2 linked regions of the Danio rerio genome follow. The protein of the gene in region 2 interacts with the protein of the main gene of each other region in a biochemical or structural test. Links are inferred from orthologs where the notes say so. Each region holds a gene or a part of one and is shown on either strand. Other genes may lie near its edges.

Region 1 (4,369 bases), on a different chromosome or scaffold from region 2:
TGCATTTTGTTTGGAAATGAAAATCGGGTTTACATCAGAACTCAACATCAGCCTGATGTCAATGTCCAACGTCCAACCTCAAACCAACCAAATATCAACGTCTAATGATGTTACAGCTTGACGTTGTGTCGACGTTACCACTATGACGTCTATCAGACGTTGAATTTTGGTTGCCATAACTGATGAATAAATGTCAGTATTTGACGTCAATAGGATGTTGATTTAAGATGTCGGCTCTACATTGGATTTTGGTCACTTTCTAACAACCTAAAATCAACCAAATATCAACGTCATTTGATGTCATTATTGGACATGAAAATAATGTCCTTAGACGCTGGCTAGACATAGAATTTTGGTCACCTGACATTACAACCTAAATCAAACCTATTAACGTCTTATAACGTTGTGTGCCTGCTGGGCAATAAATATATGCACTACAGAATGTTACGTTTACACACATCCACGAATTACATGTAAATGCATCAACTTTTAACAGCGTAATACTCACTTTTAAAAGGGCTACTGTTTACTCCTACTTTGAGTAATATTTACGACAGGTACTTTTACTCTACTCACACTACATTTTTAGGCAAGTAATGGTACTTTTACTTAAGTATGCTTTTTTTTTACTTAAGTATTAGTTAAGTATGCTTTTTACATACTCTTTCCACCACTGGGTGCAACTTCCTTAATATGCACGATATTGCTTCGAAGATTATTACCTGTTATGCTGTGTTCACACCAGACGCTGAATGCAAATTTGACCTTATTTATATAGCACATTTAAATTCAACTTCAGTTGGCTTAAGTGCTATACAGAGTTAAAAAAGAGTCATGAAAAACATTAATAATACAGATTAAGCAAAGCAAAACAATTAATAAGTAAAAATCCTTATGCATTCATTTTCCTTCGGTCCCTTAATTTATTAGGGGTCGCCACAGCGGAATGAACCGCCAACGTATCCAGCATATGCTTATTATGCAGAGAATGCCCTTCCAGCTGCAACCCATTACTGGAAAAACACCCATACACACTCATTCACACACACACTCATACACTATACGGCCAGTTTAGTTAATCAATTCCCCAATAGTGCATGTGTTTAGACTGTGGGGGAAGCTGGAGCACTCAGAGGAGACCTAAGGCAACATGTGGAGAACATGCAAACTCCACACAGAAATGCCAACTGGCCCAGCCAGGACTCAAACCAGCGACCTTCTTCCTATGAAGCCACAGTGCTAACCACTAAACCACCATGTCACCCTTAATAAATTATTTGAAATTAAAAGCACATGGGAAAATATGTGAAAGTTTGATTAAAAAGATAAGTACAGATTGCTTTTCAACACTCTTCAGAATATCTTGCTTTATGCGCAACAGAATAAAAGTTAATTTTGTGTGAACTGTCCCTTTAAATCCAACTCTGCTGCACTACACACTCTGTCCGGCAGATGGGGACAAAACGCCACAAATCATCACCTAACTATGCGCTCAATATTGATATTACAGATTTTTGTTCTAGCACTCCCTACTAACGTTTGAGCTGTGCGTCATTCAACCGCTGTCAGTAAAAAAGTGAAATAAATACTTTAAATAAGTCTACAACGTTCAGACCAGTCTAAGTTCACCCTTTATCAGCTAATCGACTTGTGAACTGGCTGAAGAAGAAAACAGCTGGAGTGTTTTAGCGTAGCTTTTTTACGGAAGCCGGTGTTACTTTATCAAACATGGCTGACGACTTCGGTTTTTCCGCCTTCGACAACGGAGTTCATACAGAAGAAGATCCCGCCGCCGCCTTTCTGGCCCAGCAGGAGAATGAAATCGCGGTGATTGAGAACGACAGCACTGGGTTCAGTTTACCGGAGGACGGAGGAGCGGCGCCCGCAGACACCTACACCATGTCCGGCGGTGAGCCAGCGCGAGTCCCGGCGGCCGCAAACACACACCCGTGCTCACGTATTACCGCTTTATATTGTGTATAAAGTATAGTACAGAGTGCCTGTTATGTATAAGTAGCAGTAGTGTAATGTACCATGGTATTTTTGGAGAACCAGGTACGTAAATGTGTAATAAATGAGTATCAATCACTTCTTAAAATGTGAGTTACCATAGTATTGTAAAAAAACACAGTATTTTAGTTTTAAATAACTTTTTCCCATGGTATATTTTCAAAAAGTATATATTATATTATATTATTTTATATTATATTGAAATACTATGGTATCACCACTGAATACTGCCACTTTACCATAGTACTAGTAACTTACAGCAGTACTTTCAGTAACTATTTTGTGACTTTGTTTAATATAAATATTACAAATTATGCACAACTAATAATATAAATCATCATCGTTATTACTCGGTACTTAAATGCACACAAAAACTATAACACAGATTAGGCTACTTGCGATAAAGTAGCGGTAACGTTACTGTAACATACCATGGTATTTTTGCAGAACCAAATACATAAATGAGTAATAATGAGTATAAATCACTTCTTATAATGTTAGTTACCATGGTATTGTAAAAAGAATAGTGTTTTTGTTTATAATAAATTATTTTTCCATGGTATTTTTAGAATAAGTATATTATATTATAATATATTCTATTATAATACTATGGTATTACCACTGATTATTGCAACTTTACCATAGTACTAGTAACTGCAGTACTTACTTTCAGTAACTTTATTTTGTGTCCTTGTTTAATATTAATCTCACAAATTATGTGTAACTGATAATATGAATCACCATTGTTATTACTGAGTACTTAAATGCACACAAAAAGTATAACAGTGTGCTTTCGTACAAGTAGCAGTAGTGTAATGTACCATGTTTTTTTTTTTTTGAAGAACCAGGTACATTAATGTGTAATAAATGAGTAAAAATCACTTACTAAAATGTGTATATCATGGTATTTGACAATTCCTTGCAAAAAATATAGATACTTCATTGAAAGGATTTTTTTAATGAATATTCTATTCTATTATATTGAAATACTATGGTATCACCACCAGATACCGCCACTTTACCATAGTACTAGAACAACAGTACTTTCAGTTTCACTCGTTTACAGCTCTAATTAGTGCATATTATAAGGTATAATACAGTGTCTGTTCCGTATATGTAGCAGTACTGTTATGTACCAGGTGCATGAATGTGTAATAAATGAAGTTCAAATCACTTCTTAGTGTTCATGGTATTGACAATGATTAGTAAAAAGAATCGATACAGTATTTTTGGTTAAAATAACTTTTTCCTATGGTATTTTATCTAAAAAGTATATTATATTATATTAAAAATCTATGATATCACTACTGTATACAGCCACTTTCCCATAGTACTAGTAACTTACAGCAGTACTTTCAGTACCTTTATTTTGTCACAGAAACGCCAACTGACCCAGCCGAGGCTCGAACCAGCGAACTTCTCGCTGTGAGGCGACAGCACTACCTACTGCGCCACTGCGTCACCATTAAAACTTTTTTTCAGAAAAAAGGAAACATTTAATTTAAAATAAATAAAGAAAATAAATAAACTCTAAAAAAGTTAGCAGCCCTAATAAAATAAAAAAAATTAATGAAATTAAATATTATCACTCATCCTCTTCTAAATAAGAGTCGCATTGCTAAATATAGAAAATTGCAAAAAATGACATTTGTACTTGCATAAAAATAAAGGAGCAAAATAAATAACACAAAACTTAAAATAGCAAAAACAAAATCAAACCTAATATCTTCAAAACACTAAATAACAGAATTTGTAAAAAATAAATAACTAAATAAATAAAGTGCAGATTTATGCTTTAACTAAACACTTAAAACATGCAAGTAAAAAAAAATAAACATTTAAAACTTTTTTAATGCAAATCCACTTAGATCCACTTGTCTTGTAAACAAAGCAAGTATTTCATATATACATATATATTGACTAGAGGGCTGCATGGTGGTGCTGTGGGTAGCATGATCGCCTCACAGCAAGAAGGTCGCTGGTTCGAGCCTCGGCTGGGTCAGTTGACATTTTGGGTCAGTTTGCATGTTCTCCCAGTGTTGCCGTGGGTTTCCTCCGGGTGCTCCGGTTTCCCCCACAGTCCAAACACACTATAGGTGCATTGGATAAACTAAATTGTCCGTAGTGTATGTATGTGATTGAGTGTGTGTGGATGTTTTCCAGTGATGGGATGCAGCTGGAAGGGCATCCACTGCATAAAACATATGCTGGATAAGTTGGCGGTTCATTCCGCTGTGGCGACCCCTGATTAATAAAGGGAGTAAGCCAGAAAGAAAATGAATGAATGAATGAAAATTGACTAGAAGACAAAAAATATTACATTACAAACTGCAATTTTACATAAATCCTAAATTGTAAT
Region 2 (3,659 bases):
AAGTGGCACGAATGGATTTGCTATTTAAACAATGTGGTCGAAAACATGAAAATTAGAGTTGCACTGATCTGAAAATAGCAACAGATCGCACCAAATACGTCTTGCACCTTATTGCACCGGGTGTATTATAAGACCCATAGTGTGGAACAATGGAATTTAGTACAGAGTTTGTTGTCAGGTAGGAACCCCACTTCATGTCGTACATCAATCAGGCAGTGAAGATCATTGAATTTTAAACAAACCAGTTCTTCTTTCTTTCATGACAGTTCACCGGAAGCGATTGAGCAGGCATATTCAAAATGAATAGTCCTCTTACATATACCTCATTATAACATTTAAACCATTTACATCTGTCTGATTATAGTACAACATCTTGTCTGTCATTAGATTACCTCATCAGCCGGGCTGAGGCCACGCTGGGCTCTGTAGAGAAGGTGCAGGCAGGCCACTCTGAGTATGTGAAGAGTATGAAAGGTATGTTCTGTCTCTTTTTCGCTTGATGATGTTTCCATATAATTTTTAATGCTTGTACTTTATCTCATTTCATGATTAACTTGTTTTTGATTCAGATGCTGGGGGTCTGGTTAGGGCTCTTACTATGTTTTCTCATCTTGCTGCTGACACAATAATCAACGGAAGTGCGACGGCACACATGGCCCCTACTGACCATGCTGATCGTAAGAGCACACACCTTGTGAAAAACACTATTATATTATATTATATTATATTATATTATATTATATTATATTATATTATATTATATTATATTATATTATATTATATTATATTATATTATATTATATTATATTATATTATTTTGAATTATATTATTTTGAATTATATTATATTATATTATTTTATTTTATCTTATATTATTTTATCTTATATTACATTATATTTTATCATATTATATTTTATTATGTTATATTATTTTATTTTATATTATATTATTTTATCTTGAATTATTTTATATTATATTATATTATTTTATTTTATCTTATATTACATTATATTTTATTATGTTATATTATTTAATTTTATATTATATTACATTACTTAATATTATATTATATTATTTAATATTGTATTATATTATATTATTTGATATTGTATTATATTATATTATTTTATCTTATATTATATTTTATTATATTATATTTTATTATGTTATATTATTTAATTTTAGATTATATTACATTACTTAATATTATATTATATTATTTGATATTACATTATATTATATTATTTGATATTATTTGATATTATTTGATATTATATTATATTATATTATATTATATTATATTATATTATATTATATTATATTATATTATATTATATTATATATGCCAGTGTGTAGGGGTGCAATGAATCACAGTTGACCCATGTGGAACTAATAACACATATTTAAAACATCTAGATGAATCCTAAATTTAGTTTGAAACGCATGTCTGTCTACAGGTTTGACTGAGCAGTGTAAGAGTTGCGCCACCCAGAGTCTGCAGTATCTTAAGAGTCTTAAATCCAAAGCATCTCTAAGGGGGGCTGATCCCACCGCCATCCAAGCAGCGGTGCAGAAGATTCTTAGAATAGGAAAGGTAAGACACAAATAGTTTGGGTTATTTAAATGCTAATAATGCAATCATTCATTTACTCAAGGCTATTGCTGCTTGTATTTTACTTCCAGGATCTAAGGCCAAAAGGTTTAGATGTCGGCAAGGATGAGCTGGGAGATATGGTGGATAAAGAAATGGCTGCTACCTCTGCTGCTATTGAGGAGGCTGTTAGGAGAATAGATGTGAGTAGAAAAGTATTTATCACAGAAAATCTGTGCCTTCTAATGTTCCACTTGTTTCAAACCAGAGTTACTTTCTTTTTAACACATATATAATATATGAACAATATCACATGAGTAGCAGTATGCTATGGCTGTATATTGGCACTGGCGGGAGGCGTGCGTTGGTTTGAGGACACAGGCCGAGTGCCTTAGTGTCCCACAAGTGAGGTGGAACAGCCATATCACACTGCTACATGTGTGATATTGCATTTATAAAACAGTTCGACAGCAAAAGCGTGTATAAGAGTAGTCTTTTTGAAGAGTAGAAACTTTTCTCTCTGTTTAAAAGAAACAGTCTTTTTGTAAGAGGAACTACTTTCTTCCGCCATTCATTCACATCTGCAGCTGACATCAGAACAGCAGAAACTGTTTCTAATTCACCATCGTGACTTTAGAGCTAGTATTGATGAATGATTCTCTAGCGTAATGTCTAAAGTGATGACAAAACAGGTGATTTTGCTGACTTTTTAAGAGTATAAGACTGAACTGCATGAAATGCCATCAATCTACAGAGATATCCCAGTGTTTCTCTGTTGTGATCAGGAGTATCACAATAACTGACCCCAAAAAAGCCAAAGCAATGCAAACACTAGCAGATTACTGTTGTGTTCGCGATAAGGAAAAACACTAAACACATGCGGGCATTTCTTCCTTCTTTCTGTTTACTAAGAGACTCATTAGAAACAAACAGATGGCCAACCAAAAAGGTTATACAAAAAGTGTGCAACATAATACCCGAGTCCCATCTCACACTCAATACACTACAATTACTATGGTATAAAAACAGCCCTACAACATACAAAAGAGAGAGATCGACTTAGAATCTCTGTCACCCACCAATTTAATAATGTTTTGATCAGCTGTAGTTTGAAAATATGCAGATCTTTTCTCCTCTAGAGGCTTATTATGCGGCTGCCATCTTGTGGATGGACAACATCAACCGCCTTGCTCAATGACAGGCTGCCAATGCGGTGTATCTCGGAAATGATAAATATTTAAAATAGGCATTATTCTTATAAATAAACTGCATAGTTGCAATCTAAACAACCACATTCTCGACTTTAAAAAGTCTCAAAAGCACATTATGTTGTCCAACTGCAGCAATATTTGTCAAACTGTAGTGAGTTTATGGATCTGCTGTCACTATGTGGGCGGAGTAATACAGAAGGAGGAGGAGGCTATTTATATATTTAGATATACAGTACATGTAAATATGCAATTTACTAGTTAAAATGGGCTGGAAAATTCACCTGGAATGTGCTTGAAAGCTTGAAAGTTTCTTAAATTTGGCTTTGGAAAAGGTGTAAGAACCCTGAATATAATATAATAATTCTATATTATAATAATACTGTGTAATACTATATAATTTTGTAATAAATGTCGAAAATAAATGATCTATGAAAGTCTTTAACGGATTAATAACTGATGAACAAGCATTTCTGTTCACTTATTGTTTAGTTTTAAGGCTGTTTTAATTAAGCTTAATACATGGTTTTTGAAACATCCATATTTATTATATATATCTTGTATTGTTTTGATCTCAATTTTAATTGTTTGGCTCTATAGGAAATGATGAGTCAGACCAGAAAAGACGCAACTGGAGTTCAGCTGGAGGTGAATGAAAGGTTGGTGTTGTTGTTGTTGTTTTTTATTATTATTATTGTTAATTTTTTAATTGTTAAATGCAAATGTCACTCTTTTAATATCTGAATATAATAAATGAGTAATTAATTATTAATGTTACTATGTGTTATATATATATATATAAGTTATTAACATATAAGAGTTTTTGCATGGGCCTATAAAAATGCATTTTGTCTTTTAA

The links. The genes of interacting proteins can lie anywhere in the genome.
Region 1: the proteins of hip1rb (region 2) and cltb form a complex in vitro, tested with the Homo sapiens proteins (2 studies listed by BioGRID). The link is inferred for Danio rerio from reciprocal best matches to the Homo sapiens genes HIP1R and CLTB.

The regions. Positions count from the first base shown.
Region 1 is NC_133189.1:56,170,652-56,175,020, reverse strand, and holds the start of cltb (clathrin light chain B), read left to right. Parts: upstream 1-1,506; 5' UTR 1,507-1,728; coding exon 1,729-1,909; intron 1,910-4,369. UniProt on the Homo sapiens protein: Clathrin is the major protein of the polyhedral coat of coated pits and vesicles.
Region 2 is NC_133180.1:72,287,708-72,291,366, reverse strand, and holds part of hip1rb (huntingtin interacting protein 1 related b), read left to right. Parts: intron 1-387; coding exon 388-474; intron 475-569; coding exon 570-677; intron 678-1,458; coding exon 1,459-1,595; intron 1,596-1,684; coding exon 1,685-1,795; intron 1,796-3,400; coding exon 3,401-3,459; intron 3,460-3,659. UniProt on the Homo sapiens protein: Component of clathrin-coated pits and vesicles, that may link the endocytic machinery to the actin cytoskeleton. Binds 3-phosphoinositides (via ENTH domain).